Arabidopsis thaliana: one gene and its partner. The protein of the gene in region 1 purifies or fractionates together with the protein of each later gene. This does not show direct contact. Each region holds a gene or a part of one and is shown on either strand. Other genes may lie near its edges.

Evidence for each region. The genes of interacting proteins can lie anywhere in the genome.
Region 2: the proteins of MCCA (region 1) and MCCB fractionate together in Arabidopsis thaliana (co-fractionation; one large-scale study listed by BioGRID). This does not show direct contact.

What each region holds. Positions count from the first base shown.
Region 1 is NC_003070.9:736,247-746,847, reverse strand, and holds MCCA (methylcrotonyl-CoA carboxylase alpha chain), read right to left. Parts: upstream 7,305-10,601; 5' UTR 7,134-7,304; coding exon 6,798-7,133; intron 6,725-6,797; coding exon 6,603-6,724; intron 6,494-6,602; coding exon 6,346-6,493; intron 6,229-6,345; coding exon 6,091-6,228; intron 5,879-6,090; coding exon 5,783-5,878; intron 5,701-5,782; coding exon 5,641-5,700; intron 5,340-5,640; coding exon 5,247-5,339; intron 5,165-5,246; coding exon 5,053-5,164; intron 4,903-5,052; coding exon 4,798-4,902; intron 4,668-4,797; coding exon 4,531-4,667; exon of another isoform or gene 4,347-4,530; coding exon 4,112-4,346; intron 4,027-4,111; coding exon 3,866-4,026; intron 3,759-3,865; coding exon 3,645-3,758; intron 3,548-3,644; coding exon 3,302-3,547; intron 3,229-3,301; coding exon 3,132-3,228; intron 3,034-3,131; coding exon 3,029-3,033; 3' UTR 2,823-3,028; downstream 1-2,822. Other genes in the region: AT1G03100 (Pentatricopeptide repeat (PPR) superfamily protein), read left to right, coding at 441-2,822; NET1D (kinase interacting (KIP1-like) family protein), read left to right, coding at 9,516-9,615, 9,767-10,601. UniProt on the Arabidopsis thaliana protein: Biotin-attachment subunit of the 3-methylcrotonyl-CoA carboxylase, an enzyme that catalyzes the conversion of 3-methylcrotonyl-CoA to 3-methylglutaconyl-CoA, a critical step for leucine and isovaleric acid catabolism.
Region 2 is NC_003075.7:16,299,387-16,306,331, reverse strand, and holds MCCB (3-methylcrotonyl-CoA carboxylase), read right to left. Parts: upstream 5,306-6,945; 5' UTR 5,035-5,305; coding exon 4,792-5,034; intron 4,711-4,791; coding exon 4,591-4,710; intron 4,427-4,590; coding exon 3,992-4,426; intron 3,894-3,991; coding exon 3,803-3,893; intron 3,715-3,802; coding exon 3,473-3,714; intron 3,395-3,472; coding exon 3,230-3,394; intron 3,144-3,229; coding exon 3,069-3,143; intron 2,992-3,068; coding exon 2,860-2,991; intron 2,726-2,859; coding exon 2,669-2,725; intron 2,587-2,668; coding exon 2,383-2,586; 3' UTR 2,233-2,382; downstream 1-2,232. Other genes in the region: MBR2 (RING/U-box superfamily protein), read left to right, coding at 1-403, 535-585, 930-1,028, 1,105-1,248, 1,563-1,694; DJ1C (Class I glutamine amidotransferase-like superfamily protein), read left to right, coding at 5,435-5,689, 5,782-5,982, 6,095-6,244, 6,334-6,513, 6,617-6,694, 6,923-6,945. UniProt on the Arabidopsis thaliana protein: Carboxyltransferase subunit of the 3-methylcrotonyl-CoA carboxylase, an enzyme that catalyzes the conversion of 3-methylcrotonyl-CoA to 3-methylglutaconyl-CoA, a critical step for leucine and isovaleric acid catabolism.

The DNA.
Region 1 (10,601 bases):
AACAATAAATTTTTTGCTAGATAAGGACCATTTACTATGACAGTATATGATATAGTGATACTCAATTTGACAAATTCCTTAGAATATTATTACTTTACTTATTTTTCTTTTCTCTTTTTGTCAACACTTGATATTTTTCGGTTAAGCAAAATTTACAAGTTTCTTCTGGCTATAGTGATTAGTGAATAGTGATTAGGGTTTAGTGGTTCTTCGCACCTGCCATCATCAACGGTCAAAGACCCATCGTCTTCTCAAGAAAGCTTTTGTCTTTTTCTCCTAATCTCACGTTAGTGCTCAAAGCTTGCTGGTTCAGTTCACGCACCAAGTGTTCGACGAAATGTCTAAATGAAACTGGGAAACAGTTTTCATCAAATCCTCATACCAGCCGAGGAGCTTCAAATTGGTCTTAACGAATTGACGAAGAAAAATAAGATCTTTCAATGTTTTCATTGAGGAAAACTAAGCTTCAGCCTGTTTCACTCCACCAGTGTCGTTTGAGTTCTTTGTTTCGTGGAGTTCTTATTCACGCCATTGAAGTTACAGGTACTCAATCTCAAGCTTCTTTACAACATGGTTTGGCGGGTAAAGCTGTTCTGTCTAATGCAAAATACCTCAGTGTGTTAACTAGGTTTCGTACTAGTACCAGATTCGATGTATGGTCTATCCATAGAAGAGAAGCAATTTCAAGCATTTCTGGATCTATACTGCTTCAAGCCAGAGATCCTGCTAAACTCAATGAAGAAATTCAAATTGCAGTTGATGAACATAGATGTGATGAAGCTTGGAGATTGTTTGAACAACATATGCAAATGGAAGGGTTTCCGCGAAAATCTGTTGTTAACAATGTTGTGGTTTGTTTTGCTGAGAGTCTTGATTCCAACTGGCTACAAAAGGGTTACAGTTTAGTGGAACAAGCCTATGAGGAGGGTAAACAGAATTTGCTGGAGAAGGAACCTCTTCTATATCTCTCCTTGGCTCTTGCCAAGTCAGGTATGGCTGTTCCTGCATCAACGATCTTGAGGAAGCTAGTTGAGACAGAAGAGTATCCTCATGTGAGTGCTTGGTCTGCGGTTTTGGCTCATATGTCTCTTGCGGGATCAGGAAGTTATCTTTCTGCTGAGTTGGTTCTTGAGATTGGTTATTTGTTTCATAATAACAGAGTTGATCCACGGAAGAAGAGCAACGCACCTTTGCTTGCGATGAAGCCTAATACTCAGGTGTTGAACGTTGCTTTGGCGGGTTGTTTGTTGTTTGGGACAACCCGAAAAGCTGAACAGCTTCTTGATATGATACCGAAGATCGGTGTTAAAGCTGATGCTAACTTGTTAGTAATAATGGCTCATATATACGAAAGAAATGGGCGGAGAGAGGAACTAAGGAAGCTTCAAAGGCATATAGATGAAGCTTGCAACTTGAATGAGTCTCAGTTTTGGCAATTCTATAACTGCTTGCTTATGTGTCACTTAAAATTCGGGGATCTTGAATCTGCTTCGAAAATGGTTTTGGAAATGCTAAGAAGAGGAAAGGTAGCAAGGAACTCACTTGGAGCCGCCATTCTTGAATTTGATACTGCAGATGATGGTAGATTATACACCAAAAGAGTATCTGGAAAAGGATCAGAGGTTAAAGAACACGATAATCCCGAAACTCGAGTGGTTTCTATTCACAGTATGATTCCCTATGATGAGTTCTCTAGAGACAGGAAGTTTTTGAAACTTGAAGCTGAGGCAAAGGATGTTCTTGGTGCATTGTTGGCTAAGTTGCATGTACAAGTCGAATTGATTACCTCGGAACGCGGTGTTCTGCAGCCGACGGAAGAGATTTATGTGAAATTAGCAAAGGCATTCCTGGAAAGTGGAAAGATGAAGGAGTTAGCAAAGTTTCTGTTGAAGGCAGAACATGAAGACTCTCCTGTTTCTAGTGATAACTCGATGCTGATTAATGTTATCAACGCATGTATTTCTCTAGGCATGTTGGATCAGGCGCATGATCTACTCGACGAGATGCGTATGGCTGGGGTAAGAACTGGTTCTTCGGTTTATTCTTCGCTCCTCAAAGCTTACTGCAACACAAACCAAACTAGAGAAGTGACATCACTCCTTAGAGATGCTCAAAAGGCAGGGATTCAATTAGACTCAAGCTGTTATGAAGCTTTAATCCAGTCTCAAGTAATTCAGAACGATACTCATGGAGCTCTCAATGTGTTTAAGGAAATGAAAGAGGCGAAGATACTACGAGGCGGAAATCAGAAATTTGAGAAGCTCTTAAAGGGATGTGAAGGAAACGCAGAGGCGGGACTCATGTCAAAACTCTTGAGAGAAATCAGAGAAGTGCAGAGTTTGGATGCTGGTGTTCATGATTGGAACAATGTGATCCATTTTTTTAGCAAGAAAGGTTTGATGCAGGATGCAGAGAAGGCATTAAAGAGGATGAGAAGTCTTGGGCATTCGCCAAATGCTCAAACTTTTCATTCTATGGTCACAGGATATGCAGCCATTGGGAGTAAATACACAGAGGTCACTGAGTTATGGGGAGAAATGAAATCCATAGCTGCAGCTACTTCATCGATGAAGTTTGATCAGGAGTTGCTTGATGCGGTGCTTTATACATTTGTTAGAGGCGGGTTTTTTTCCCGGGCTAATGAAGTTGTGGAGATGATGGAGAAAAAAAATATGTTTGTTGATAAGTACAAGTATCGGATGCTCTTCTTGAAGTATCACAAGACTGCTTATAAAGGCAAAGCTCCAAAAGTTCAGAGCGAGTCTCAGCTCAAGAAGAGAGAAGCTGGTTTAGTATTCAAGAAATGGCTCGGACTATCTTGATTATTAATGTAATCACCATTTTGTATACTAAGAAGTTACCTTCAATCTCTAGCCGCACAGATCTATATAGAGGCAGTAAAAACATTTATAAAGCTTTGGATTTATTTATCTTTTGTAAGATTTCGGTTTATATACACACCCAAATGCTTATTAGTTCAGGTTTCGCGTAAGCCAGCGAATGGTTGATCAATCGCAAATCGTGTTATTTACCCTGCAAAGATATTGAAATTGGTGGAGTTGGATGAAATTTTCAAAAGGATGATATGAAATGTATAAAGGAAAAAATGCTGGTACTAAATTACCACTAACCTTTGATCCTGAATAGAGCACTGCCATCTGAAACCTGTTGGCCTGCTTTAACTTTGAGGTCCTGTATGCTTCCAGAGGATGGTGCTTTCACAACGTGCTGAACGAGAATAAAACGATAATTACTTAAATGTTTCTTATATTATGGTATATGAAGATGTTTATATACTAACCTCCATCTTCATTGCCTCTAGGACTAATATAGGTTGACCTTGATCTACTTTGGCTTCGTTTTCGACAAGGACCTTGACTACCAAACCAGCCATGGGGGCCACAATGGTTCCTGGAGGGTGTGATGATGTTTCGGAGCTGGTTCTGTGTTGGACACCTTCTTCATCTTCAGAGAATTCGATTCCTACCTTCTGCTTGAACTGATGGTGTTCTGAACCATGCCATATATGGATATGCTTATAACCATCCTGTAACCAAACATACATCATAAGCAGCAATTACGAGAGAGACAGAAAGAGTATGAGAGCTGTTAAGAGTTGCTTGAACATAATGCTAATGATTTACCTTCAAGTACGCAGCTAGACTAACATTCATGCTCAATCCGGCCGCTTCAACTCTAAAATCGCACTTTCCTGCTCGTGTTACTCTGAGTTCTAAACTTGGAGAATCATTGCCTTCCTGTCTCGTGGAATGTTGACAAACCATAAGAATTCCAATTATAAGACTCATAAATGAAGTATATGAGTCTAAAAGTGAATCTAAAAGGAGGATGTGAAGTTTTAAACCTCAATGAGATAGCTTCCATCTGGTTGATATCTTACACCGAGTGATATGAGGTTAGAGCCAGTTCCCTCGCATTCATTATTCCATTCTAGCTCAATGGTTTGTTTGGCTTCATGATGGACCCTAAAAGGAGGATTCGAATACCATATCGATGGAACTTTCCCTGGATGAGTTTACACATAATAAATTAAGACATGCTCGGGAATCATGTAAGTTGTGAAGAAGAGACTAGACCCATGCGAACTGACCATGATTACTTTCATTCCAAGTAGAATGCTCGATTGTGGAGATACAAGCAGCCACCAATGCTGCACTATGCTTGACTGCCTTGTATGCCACTTCTGTTGCAGCTGGATTGCTTTCGTCAGCAAATAGATCACTTTTATGGTGCTCAATAAAATGAGTTTCTACATTGCCCACTGCAAACTCCTTATGACTAGCAAGTTTTTGAAGGAAATTTATGTTCGTAGGTACACCTGCTACCTGTCAACAACATACCATGTAATTACTGAACTATTGTGGTAACTAAGAAGCGATGTGCGAGAAACTCAAAAAGGTTTCTCAAGAAATTCACAATGGAACCATAAGGCCTTGAAGATTTATAGTTATGCTGAGGTATAATTAAAATTGCAGAGAGCTCCAAAATACAGGTTCTCAGGGAATCTACCTGAAAGTTAGACAAGCAATCCTTCAGTTTCACTAAAGCTTCGCCACGATTACCTCCCCAGACAACAAGCTTTGCAATCATAGGATCATAGTGCATGCTAACAGTGTCTCCTTGCTCAACTCCAGTTTCAACCCGAACTGTTTCAGACAAATTCCAACATGAGAGAGGTAAACAACAGGACAAAAACAGGGTCAGATATATACGAGAGAAAAAAAAACTTTCTATAAGATAGGAAAAAACAGTTGTATACACAATTTTGTACTTCACCTGATGGTGAGACTGCAACAGGGCGATAATGATTGAGGACCCCAGTTGCAGGAAGAAATCCTTTTGGAACGTTTTCAGCATATATCCTGGCCTCAAAGGCATGACCTGCCAAGAAGATACATATGTGGGTCATGTTGTTCAGATTTTTTTCTGCCACAAGTAACATCTTGAAAAATCATGGATTCAGTACGGAATAGCGAATGAGAGTAAACCAAACCACTATTTTCCATTTATTTTTAGGAGGAAGAGCCATACCTGACATTGGCACCTCGGATTGGCTTAAGGGGAGAGGTTCCCCATTGGCAACCCGAATTTGCCATTCCACAAGATCTTGACCAACAATCATCTCAGTTACAGGATGTTCGACCTAAGAAGGATCATCAGTGTTCCTTTGGAAAGCCAAATGTTTATCGAGTTAAATTTAATAAACATATAGATCAAAGAAGCACCTGTAGACGGGTGTTCATTTCCATAAAATAAAATTGATCAGACTCGGTGTCAACTATAAATTCCACCGTCCCAGCATTATAATATCCAACTGCCTTTAAATATCAGAAGGTAACAGAATATAAGCGCTTCTTGTGGAAGTTGAAGTGAAAGATAGCCTAGCAAGAAGAGGTTTCAAAAGACTACATATCAATTGAACTAAACATTAACAATAGTAAACTTTGATCAAATAACTCATGATCAATATTAGTAATGCACTATATAAAATAGAGACACCCGGAGCATACTATGAATGAATGCAATATACAGAGCATTGTAATGAAACATTTTCGGCTAAGCTTTCTCACTGAAGACCATGAAATCTGTAAAAGATGAAAGCAGGATTTAAAGGGATACCCGTGCCGCAGAGACAGCAGCTTGGCCTAAGTTTGCGCGGAACTTTTCAGATATATTAGGCTGCACCAGTATTCAATCAGACCCACATCCATTTATGCTAGAAAAGATATGAATCAATAACAGAAAGAAATATGGTCATTACCGCAGGAGCTTCTTCAATAATCTTTTGGTGTCTTCTTTGCACACTGCAATCCCTTTCGTATAGATGAAGAACATTTCCATGTTTGTCACCAAATATCTAAAAGCAGTGGAAACACCGAAGCAAAATTAGTTAAAATGCTAGAAAAAAAGGAGAAAAGCCAGAAATGGTTACTCAATGAGTACGCCAAAAATGAAATACAAGTTAAGGTTAACATTTGTCCTCTTTCTATATACAATAACTGGGTTTCAATGCGCCATAACCAGCCTTTCATGAAAAAAAAAACAACATGAAATTTCACGACTCACTACCTGGACTTCTATATGCCTCGGTCGAGTAATGTATTTCTCGAGAAGAATAGTGTTAACGCCAAAAGAAGCAGCAGCTTCACGTTGGGCACCCAAAAACGAGTCAGCAAAATCCTTCCCACTTTGCACTATCCTCATTCCCTAAAAAACAAGAGCTTACTTTGCTTCGAAACCAATAGATTTTAAAAGGGTATCAAACTTTGACTATTACAAAAAGCCATCTATTGGAAAAAATCAATGCCGTATATCATAACATACCTTCCCCCCACCTCCATGTGTTGGCTTGATTATTATAGGGTATCCAATCTTTTCAGCTTCTGACTTCATATGATCAATATCTTGCTCATGGCCATGATATCCAGGCACGAGAGGAACTCCAGCAGCTCCCATAATTCTCTTGGATGCACTTCATAAATACACATGAGGGACATGTCCTCAGAAACTATTCAAGAGAGAATAAAATAACAACTTGTGCAAAGAAGAAGCAAGTCGTAATAGGAGGCCTGTAATGGTACCTTTTATCACCCATGTCTCTAATAGCAGATGCTGGAGGTCCAATGAATGTTAGACCCGAATCCTCACAGAGTTGGGCAAAGTCAGAACTTTCTGACAAGAACCCATAGCCAGGGTGTATTGCCTAGTTATATAATTCAAAGAAGACATCAGCTACAAGAACACGATTATTCTTTTTCGGGGATCAAAACTCATACCTGTGCACCAGTCCGAGCCGCTGCCTCCATGATAGTCACACCGCTGAGGTAACTAAGTCTAGCCGAGGGCGGGCCAATCCGTACCGCTTCGTCTGCAGATTTCACATGGAGCGAATCTCTATCAGCGTCACTGTAAACCGCAACGGTCTGAATCCCTAAACGCTTCGCCGTTCTCATGATCCGGCAAGCAATCTCGCCTCTGTTCGCCACCAAAATCTTCTCAATACATTGCTCCTTAGGCTTCATCGATGCGGAGCCGGAAATATATCTCACGAGCATCGAGTGATTTTTCCGACGAACATTCCGTCGAAGTGCCCACACCGTCATCATCGACATTTGATCTCGATTTTCGAATTTTCCGAGTGAAGAAAACAAGTGTGACTCAGCAACTGCGTTGTAGATAAAACCAAACAACGAGGGTATGTTGGTCAATTTCGTAAAAACTAATCGACGATGAATAGTGACGTGGCATATACTTTATCATGGTTTGGTCGGAATGGATATGTGTCTGATGTGCCGCTTGCGTTGCGTCTTTACCTGATTTTACAAGTATGGGCTTTATTGTTTTATTAATGGGCCTATCTGCACGAAGCATTAAGAAAGGCTGCAAGGCCTTGTTTCAGTTTTGAAATATAAATACTTTTGAATCATCCATATAAATCGCATTGATGTAATTTTAAAATTCACTTGGTCTTACTATATAGAGTTTTTAATATAAGATCAATTTGACTATTAAAGACATGTGGAGGGATAGTTATAAATGATTTTGAAAATCATAATTAATCTTTGGAGGCATGAAAAACGATACGAGCTGGAACTATTAAAAGTGTTTGTTAGGTAGTGGCTGTTGAGTGTTGACTCCTCTATTCATTTCTTTTTGTTTTGCATTTCTATAACCGACAAAAAAAACAATACAATTAAGGAAAATATACACAATCCTTTTAATTAATTCAATATTGGCAACAAACTGAACAAGAATATATGTTAGTAATAAACTTATAAGAAGACAATTTGATTTGAAGTCACGCTGTTGATTATTTAGTTTACAATTAAATGAATCTTAACACACTCGAAACGTTTATGTAAAATAGTATATAACCGTTTGTGATGCTTAAAAGTCAGACAACCTATTTGTTCCCAATAGGTGGATAGTTTATTTGTCCGTTTCGTGAATCTTCGTTTGAGTAACAAATAAAGGATGATATATAAGTTGTGTCAAACAAGTAATGCATACCAAACACCAAAAACATTCTCAGTCAATTAAATTTGAATTTATCGTTTTTAATCTTAATTATAATATTATTTTTTAAATTATAAATTTTAGAAAGCTGAATGAAATGATACATAACGATAAGCCACCATATATCGTATATACTTTTTTCTTGCAAAGTTTAAATAAAAGTTATGAACAACGTAACTCTAACTCCGACTCAACTTTTAGATGATTGGAAAAAGTTTGACACGCAAGATCGCAATAAGTCGAATCTAAAAGCGAACGTGGAGAAAAAAACAAAGGGTGACGAAAGTGGACCGAGAGCTCACCGTCCAAGACCTCCCTGTCTTTGTCACTTATCTCTTGTCAGCCTCCTTATCATTACTAGTATTTAATACTTTTTTTTTTTTTTTAAATCATCTTTCGTGATTTAATACTTTGTTATTCCGGATAATAAAATGTATTAAAATTACAAAATCATTTTAGTTCTTGAGCAGACAGGTATAGAAAAAGAAAAAGTGAACTGCAGACTTGATATAAATCAGGGGTAAATGGGAAGTATCAGATTGAAAAATAAAGAAATCAAATAAAATGTCATACTGTATTTAGTTGTAGTTCGATAAAAGAATATTTTCTTTCGGACATGAAAGTCGTGTTTTTTTTTAAGTTGGCAGCGAAGGCGATCCCAAGGAGGCAAAGTCACGCAACAAGTGAATTAAAATAATGAAACAGAACATCTGTGAGAACTGTACTGGAGGGTAATATCGTCATTTAAAAGCTTACCTAAACAATTCTTCTTCTTCACAACGTAAAAAGTAGGAACCAGAGCTGAAAAACGCCTGGAGAGAGAAAGAGAGAGAGATCTAGATGAAGAAAATGAGATGAGAAGAAGAAGAAGAAGAAGAAGTGAAAGCGAAAGCTGATCCGAAGATTTCTGATTTTTGTAGTACAAGTATTATTTCCGGTAAGCCTCACAGAATTCTTGCTTTTGGACCTGATTTCACTAGTGTTAGATTCGCTTTGTAGATTTAACCTGTGTAGCTAATTTCAGTTTCCGACTAAGTGCGTTACTATAACCTCTAATTCCTGTAAGATCATGTGGTTTCACTTGCTATTCTTCCCTAGGATTCTCGTCTAATTTCCAAAGACGAATTGATTTATGCTGATCCAATTTTTCATCTGTAATGAATTGTTTGATATGTTTTCTGACCAGGTTACTACTGGATTTGGCTAGTTAATTATTTTTGTCTCGAATTTGGCCTTCATTGACTTAGTGGTAATTCGTTTCTATTTTTTCTTTTGTTTTCTTCTGTATTTGTCTTTTATATGACTGTTGAACTTGTTCATTATTATCAAAGCTTAACCCTTGCTATTTTCTTCTTCTTCTTCGTCTTCTTAAGTTAGGATTTTTTTACAGAGGAATTTGGTGTACTTGGCTTTGAGAGAGACTTGGTTCCGGAGTGTTCTAATATCCTCATAATTTTTGTGTGATTTTGCCGGGAAAAATGACTGCTGTTGTGAATGGTAACTCTAAACGCTATTCTTGGTGGTGGGATAGTCACATAAGCCCCAAGAACTCGAAATGGCTTCAGGAGAATCTTACAGGTATGTGATTTTCTTGTTTTAACGTCCCTTGTATTTCCCACGGGAAAGGTCATTTCCATCGTGACAAATTTCTTTTACTTTTAGTTCAGTTTTGTGTCATGCAAGATACTTTGTATGCGATCTGCTTACATGTTTCTATTTTTGTTGACAGATATGGATAGTAAAGTCAAGCAAATGATCAAGGTTATTGAAGAAGATGCTGACTCTTTTGCTAGGCGAGCGGAAATGTATTACAAGAAGCGGCCTGAGCTTATGAAACTGGTTGAGGAGTTTTATCGAGCATATCGTGCTTTGGCTGAAAGATACGATCATGCCACCGGTGTTATTCGTCATGCTCAGCAGACTATGGCTGAAGCCTTCCCAAACCAAGACCCTATGATGTTTGGTGAGGAGTCACCTCTCGGTTCTTCCACCGATGGTTTTGATCCACAAACGCCTGACAGTTATCCACCTATCCGAGCTCCTGTTTACCCAGATGATTTACGAAAAGGTGCTTTTGGGATTTCTTCCTCTCATTTGAGTACCGTTAAGCGCAATATAGCCTTCATGGAAGACCCTCAGTCTGTGAGTAGCGGGAAAGGTTTTAAAACTGCAAAGGCAAGGAAAGGACTGAATTTCAATAATGTTGATGGAAAAGAAATAAATGCTAAGGTTCTTTCAGAATCTGAACGCGCAAGCAAAGCTGAGGCTGAAATTGTGGCTTTAAAAGATGCTCTTTCTAAAGTGCAGGCTGAAAAGGAAGCTAGCTTAGCTCAGTTTGATCAGAATTTGGAGAAACTGTCTAATTTGGAGTCTGAGGTATCTCGTGCACAAGAGGACTCTAGGGTGCTTATTGAACGAGCCACAAGAGCCGAAGCTGAGGTCGAAACGCTCAGAGAATCCCTCAGCAAAGTAGAGGTTGAAAAGGAGTCCAGCCTTCTTCAGTATCAGCAATGTCTGCAAAACATAGCTGATTTGGAGGATCGCATTTCTCTAGCCCAGAAGGA
Region 2 (6,945 bases), on another chromosome or scaffold:
GTTTTGTTGGAGTTTCACTCGTGGAAACCCTAGTACATCTGGAGATTCTCCCTTTGTTCCTCGAGCAGGATCGAGTTCAGGGATCCATGGTTTGCAGCCGAATCCCACTTGGGTTACTCCCCATAATCAATCAAGAATATCAGAAGTTGCTCCGTGGTCTTTATTTCCTAGTATCGAATCTGAATCTGCTACTCATGGTGCTTCTCTTCCATTACTACCCACAGGGCCTTCTGTTTCCTCGAATGAAGCTGCAGCGCCGTCTGGATCTAGTAGTCGTAGTCATCGCTCTCGACAAAGAAGATCGGGATTATTACTGGAAAGGCAAAATGATCATCTCCATTTGCGTCACTTAGGAAGAAGCTTAGCTGCTGATAATGATGGAAGGAACCGGCTGATTTCCGAGGTCTGTATGAACTCTTTAGCAGTTTTAGCTGATGTGGCATCTGTCTCAGTGGAAGTCAATTATTTGTTGATGGTATTTGCTGATACTAGTAATGTCAGTCACTCAGTTGGTACTCTCTTGTTTATTGGCAGATACGGCAGGTGTTGAGTGCCATGCGAAGAGGGGAGAATTTACGGTTTGAGGTATGATTTTGTCACATAACTGATTTCAATCATTCCCTCTTAATTACAGTTAACAGGTAAAATCACATCGCACTTTTTGCCTTCAAGTGTTAGTTTTAGATCTTCAGAATGTTGGTATACTATATGTGATCTCTGTCGACATCTAAGTTGTGTACCATCTTTTTAGCTGTATCGTATCTACTGCTGCTAATATAATTGGTCTCACATTGTAGTAAACGTAGTGAGAAGCAGCAATTCTCTATCAACATATCTTATTGGCATTTGTATAAACAAAACGTAGTGCAAGTTCATCCCCAATAGCATTTTATTTTTGGATCATGATTTTTCATTTGGTGATCTGATAGGATTATATGGTATTCGATCCACTGATCTACCAAGGTATGGCCGAGATGCATGATAGGCATCGGGATATGCGTCTTGATGTTGATAACATGTCATATGAGGTGAGTGTTCATTTTTCTTTTACCATTTTATCTCTATGTACCAATTTTTTTAAACATGGTTCGTTTGGGAATGTAGGAGCTATTGGCACTTGGGGAACGCATAGGAGATGTGAGCACTGGTCTAAGCGAAGAGGTGATCCTGAAAGTAATGAAACAGCACAAACATACATCATCCGCTGCTGGCTCTCACCAGGACATGGAGCCTTGCTGTGTCTGTCAGGTAAGACATGAAATTACTCTTACACCAAGGTCTTTTATGCGGCTCCTTGGACCTGTTTATTTGTCTCTTATGGCTGTTTGTTTGCAACAAATTCACTTCTTTACCGTAGTAGATGTGGTCAAGCCAAAACAGGAGTAATGTATTATCACGTAGATAGAAACCTGCCACAATTTATCACATTTTATCTTGACATTACACTAAACCGTCCATGTGTGTAACATGGGTTGGTTAGGTTCATCTATATTCCCATTTTTGAGCTGATACTCAGCTTTAACTCGGAAGCTGATGTGAAAACCTTGATGCATTTTTAACAGGAAGAGTATGCAGAAGGAGATGATCTTGGAACACTGGGATGTGGTCATGAATTTCACACTGCCTGCGTCAAGCAATGGCTGATGCTCAAGAATCTCTGCCCAATTTGTAAGACTGTGGCTTTATCGACATAAAAGCACCGTTCCTTCATCCTCGTCCTCTTTCCCTATCTCCTCCCAACCTATTGTGATCCTTGAAATGAAAGAAAAAAGGAGAAAAAGAGATCGCGTAAGAGGTCGCTTCTGTCTTACCCGCATTGATATCAAGAGAGAGTTGAAACAAGGAAGGGCCTGTGATGAATGATCGATCCTTGTGTGGAAGCATCATGTTGAATTACATAGGAGAAGAGAATAATAACTATCAATTGACTCAATCTTTTGAATTGTTGGATTATGATGATAAGTCATTGTTTATTGTCAGTCAACTCAAATCTGAGGTACCAATTCTGTATTTGAGAGTGTCATTGCTCTTTAGCTTTAATATTTTTCAGGTAATTTTTGTTGATTCGTTATCGTTTGATTGTTGCGGTAAATGAATTCTATTGTGAAAAAGGGAAAAAATGTATTTGGAAGAGACACGCTCGGTGGGGATCGAACCCACAATCGTCTGATTAGAAGTCAGACGCCTTATCCATTGGGCCACGAGCGCCTTTTTGTTGTTCGTTATCAATCAAATTAATTAGTAAATAAATTAAGTTTCGAACCAGTCAACGATCTGTTGTAGTTGGCCATATTTCTCCTCCATTGACAATCAACCAGTTTTGGTAGCTCATATACAAAAGTTTATACATTTATTTGAAAATGTTTATTGGTTAAAAGTTGTTTACATTCTAAAGACACCAAATCGAGTATCTTCTAAAGGACGGTTTAAAGCAGCAGAGAGACAAAGTCCCAAAACCTTTCTGGTATCACAAGGATCAATCACTCCATCATCCCAAAGTCTCGCCGTCGAGTAGTAAGGATTTGCCTCTCTCTCATACGCATCCACCGTTTTCTTCTTGAACGCTTCTTCCTCTTCCTCAGTCCACTGCATCACAAAGAAAAACGCAAATTCATCAATGTTGAACAAACAGAGTTGAAATCGGTTTAGAGAATGTTTTATTCAGTACCTTGATTCCTTGTCTCTTCTTGGTAGCCCTTTCAATCTGAGTTAAAACACCTGCAGCCTGCAAAGTTTTCGCCAAGCCAATAACAACGTCAAACAAAACCAAACTGAATTTTGTTCTGCTACACTAAGATTATAAACACATTTTGATTCAGTTTGGTTTCGGTTTAAACATTTCGGTGCATTCTGGTTTACCTGAGCGCCTCCCATGATGCCAATTCTGGCGTTTGGCCAAATGAACATAAAATCTGGACTGTATGCACGCCCACACATTGCATAGTTTCCAGCACCAAAGCTTGCACCCGTTATGATTGTAATCTTTGGTACCTGAATGAAGACCCGAGCTTAGAATCTGGCTTATCCTAATCAAATCTCTCAGACTCTTAACCAAGAATTAAACATACCTTAGCACAGGATACTGCCATCACCATTTTCGCTCCAGCTTTTGCAATGCCGTTGGCCTCAGCTCTAGAACCCACCTATAAGCAAAAACGGAGCAAGTAAGATAGATAGAGACACTCTTATATAGCCAAATGTGAGAACACAACACAAACACTACAATTACCATAAAGCCTGTGATGTTTTGGAGGAAAACAAGAGGAATTTTACGTTGAGAACATAATTCGATGAAGTGAGCTCCTTTTAGTGCAGATTCATTGAACAGTATGCCATTGTTCCCGATAATACCCACCGTCTGACCATAAATTCTAGCAAAACCAGTCACAAGCGTCTGCCAAAAAGAAGTTCCACATAAGAAAGTAAAAAGGTAACATTTGGATACAAAATAAGGCGAATAACATTATCTCACAGTGCCGTATTGTTTCTTGAACTCGTCAAATTCACTTCCATCAACAATCCGGGCAATAATAGACCGCACATCAAATTGCTGTTTGTGATCTACTGGAGCAATGGAGCGAAGCTCGTTTATGTCATAGAGCGGTTCCTTGTATACAAGATTTTTGCTTCCAAATGTTCCTTCCATCCCTTGTTTTGCAGCCATGTGCAAATTCTTGACAATGTTTCTTCCAATAGCGAGGCCATGTAGCTCGTCTGCAAGCTTAGAGCATCTTAAGGTCTAAACTCTAAAACACGATTATTGTTTTCATATTAAATTGCAGAAAGAGATGAATATATGTACCTTGAGCAAAATAATCTGACACACCGGACACAGTACAGTGAACAGTGGCGCCTCCTAAATCCTCAGCTGAAACTTCTTCTCCTGTAGCAGCCTGTTCAAAAGCTTTTTCATTTAGCGTTAGATTCTCAAGAAACTACTTAAGACTAGAACGAGAGAGAGAGAGAGAGAAAGTAACTTGAGAAAATTGACCTTGACAAGTGGCGGTCCTGCTAAAAATATGGTACCATTCCCTTTGACCATTACACTTTCATCAGCCATGGCAGGAATGTAGGCACCACCAGCAGTGCAGGAGCCTAAAACAATGGCGATTTGTGGAATTCCATCAGATGACATAACCGATTCGTTGTAGAAAACCCTACCAAAATTCTCCTTGTCAGGGAAAACCTCAGCCTGTTTTGGAAGGTAAGCACCACCACTATCAACAAGATATATGCAAGGAAGTCTGCACCGAGCAGCAATCTCTTGTGCTCTGAGATGTTTCTTGATAGTAATGGGATAATACGTCCCTCCTTTAACTGTAGGATCATTTGCCATAAACATACAAATACGTCCATGGATTGGTCCTATCCCTGTGATTATCCCACCTGAAGGCAAAGGCTCCTCATACAATTCATGTCCTGCAAGCTGCAAACATATTCATATCCAGTAAGCAGCAACATCAAACAAGTTTTTAATCAATGCCAATTCCCTAATCTTCTTTTGTTTTCCTAACTTATGCAAGTACTAATCAACAATAAACTCTAGATTGCAAATGTGCATTAAATCCAAACAAAGAAACAAAACAAAACCTGAGAGAGCTCCAAAAAGGAAGAACCAGGATCAAGTAGCCGATCAATCCTTTCTCTAGGCAAAAGCTTGTTTCTGCTTCTGTTCCTCTTAACCGCTTCCTCTCCACCTCCGGCCAATACCTACAAATCTCCACCGAGATACACTTATATCATTCATCTGCAAACAATTAAGACATCAATCGATAAATGAGATGGCTTTACCTTTTTGATATGGGAACGAAGCTCCGATAAGATCCCTTCCATGGCGATCGAATTGCTAGAAAAAGCCTCCGAATTTCTGTCGACTCCGTCCGGTAAAATGCCCACGCAGAAACCCTTTTGTAGTCCCCGGAAAGTTCGAAAAGGATCGGGACGAGAATCGGTTCCTGGTCGGATCCGCCATTGTTGAATACTAGTAAGCTCTTTCGAAGCTGAAACAACTCTTCTCCCCAAAATCCTTAACATTTTCGTCTCACTGTCTCTCGAAACCGATTTCACTTAAAAGACATATTTATACACACTGTTGTGACTGACTACTTGATTGTCTGTAATTCATATCTCAAACCAAAGAGAAAAGAGGAGATAAGCTCAAGGAAACAAAAATACTATTTTTATAAATCGTTTTCAAAATTCGTCTCATTTCTTTAGAGAATCGTGTGTGACAATCTCACAGTGGAAAGCAAAAAAAATGTTACATTTTCGACAAAAATTGGAGGAAAAAATTGAAGCTTTATCCAATCAAGCAATAAGACAACGATACGACGACGTTTTTAGCTTTCTTCAAGAAGTGTATACTAGTAGATAAGACGCAACTCACTCTCCGTCTAGCGGCGGGATTATCAGACTGCTGCATTAGCTATCGTCAATGGGGTCTTTAGGATATTCGATTTCAATGATAGCTTCGCTGAGTCCAACTTTGATGGAGTCAAGGCTTATCTCTTCGATGGGTTGTGTCTCGATGACTGTTGCTCCTAGTTTTTCTTCAGTCTCTGTAGTTTCTTCTTCACTAGGGACAACAAGGAGGGACCGAACTTTAAAGCTTAGATCTTCCATGTCTCCGGGTATGGTAACAACGCTAGATTCCGATGTTGGCGTCGGGTCTTCTGCAACTACTAAAAAGGTTTCTCCTTTTTTCTTGTTATCTATAACTAAAATTGTCCAGCTTGTTTGTGTAGAGAGATTGAGATTGGAGATAACTGAGAAACTATGTAGGTGCTTGTTCCAATTGGATATGGGACGGAGGAAATAGAAGCTGTTGTGTTAGTTGATGTTTTACGGCGAGCTGGTGCTGATGTTACTGTTGCTTCTGTGGAGCAGAAGCTAGAGGTTGAAGGATCCTCAGGGACCAGATTGCTTGCTGATGTTCTTATCTCGAAATGTGCTGATCAAGTTTATGATTTAGTTGCTTTGCCGGTAAGTTCCTCTTTTGCTGATTCATAAACTATAAGTGAGGACAGTCTTTGAGCTTTACTTTAATGGTTTTGTGTATTTGTTTCTGGATGGTCTGGAAATACAAATTGTGAAGGGAGGCATGCCTGGTGCTGTTAGGTTAAGAGACTGTGAAATTCTCGAGAAGATCATGAAGAGACAAGCTGAAGATAAGCGGTTATACGGGGCTATATCCATGGCTCCAGCTATTACTCTTCTTCCATGGGGACTTTTGACAAGAAAGAGGGTATAAATCAAAATCTTTGATGTCATCTAGTAACTAATCTTTTCTCTTCATGTTTTGATTTCTAAACTTGGTGTAGTTCATCGTGCAAGACAACGGGACATCCTGCTTTTTTCGGGAAGCTTCCTACATTCTGGGCTGTTAAGACAAACATTCAGATTTCAGGGGAGCTTACAACTAGCCGTGGACCCGGCACTTCTTTCCAGTTTGCTCTTTCCTTGGCGGAGCAGCTCTTCGGAGAAACCACAGCCAAGTCAATTGAAGAGTTTCTGGTCTATATCCTATTCACTTATACTTTTCTGGATCATGCTTTTCTTTATCCTTCTCGATATGCAACAATCTTCTCATAGTCTTCTTTTCCAATCATTTCTCCAGCTTCTGCGTGATGGTTACCAGAATCCTAAGAACAAAGAGTTCAATAGCATTGACTGGTCTTTAGACCACACACCTCGTGTAAGTCGCATGAAGCTATGATCAATGCATTTCCATGTAATCTCATGATATATGATGAGAACTGATCTTGGTTTTATCTTCTATACCTATGGAGTTTTTTCTTTTATCCATTCCTTCTCCTTTCACGCTCAGTTAGTTTTGAAAGATGAAAAAGTTAGCTGATTCTAAGAACATTTCATTTTAGTTTGAAAGCTGAGAAACTTGTTTTAATGATGCATCTAAATCCAGGTTCTTATCCCGGTAGCCAACGG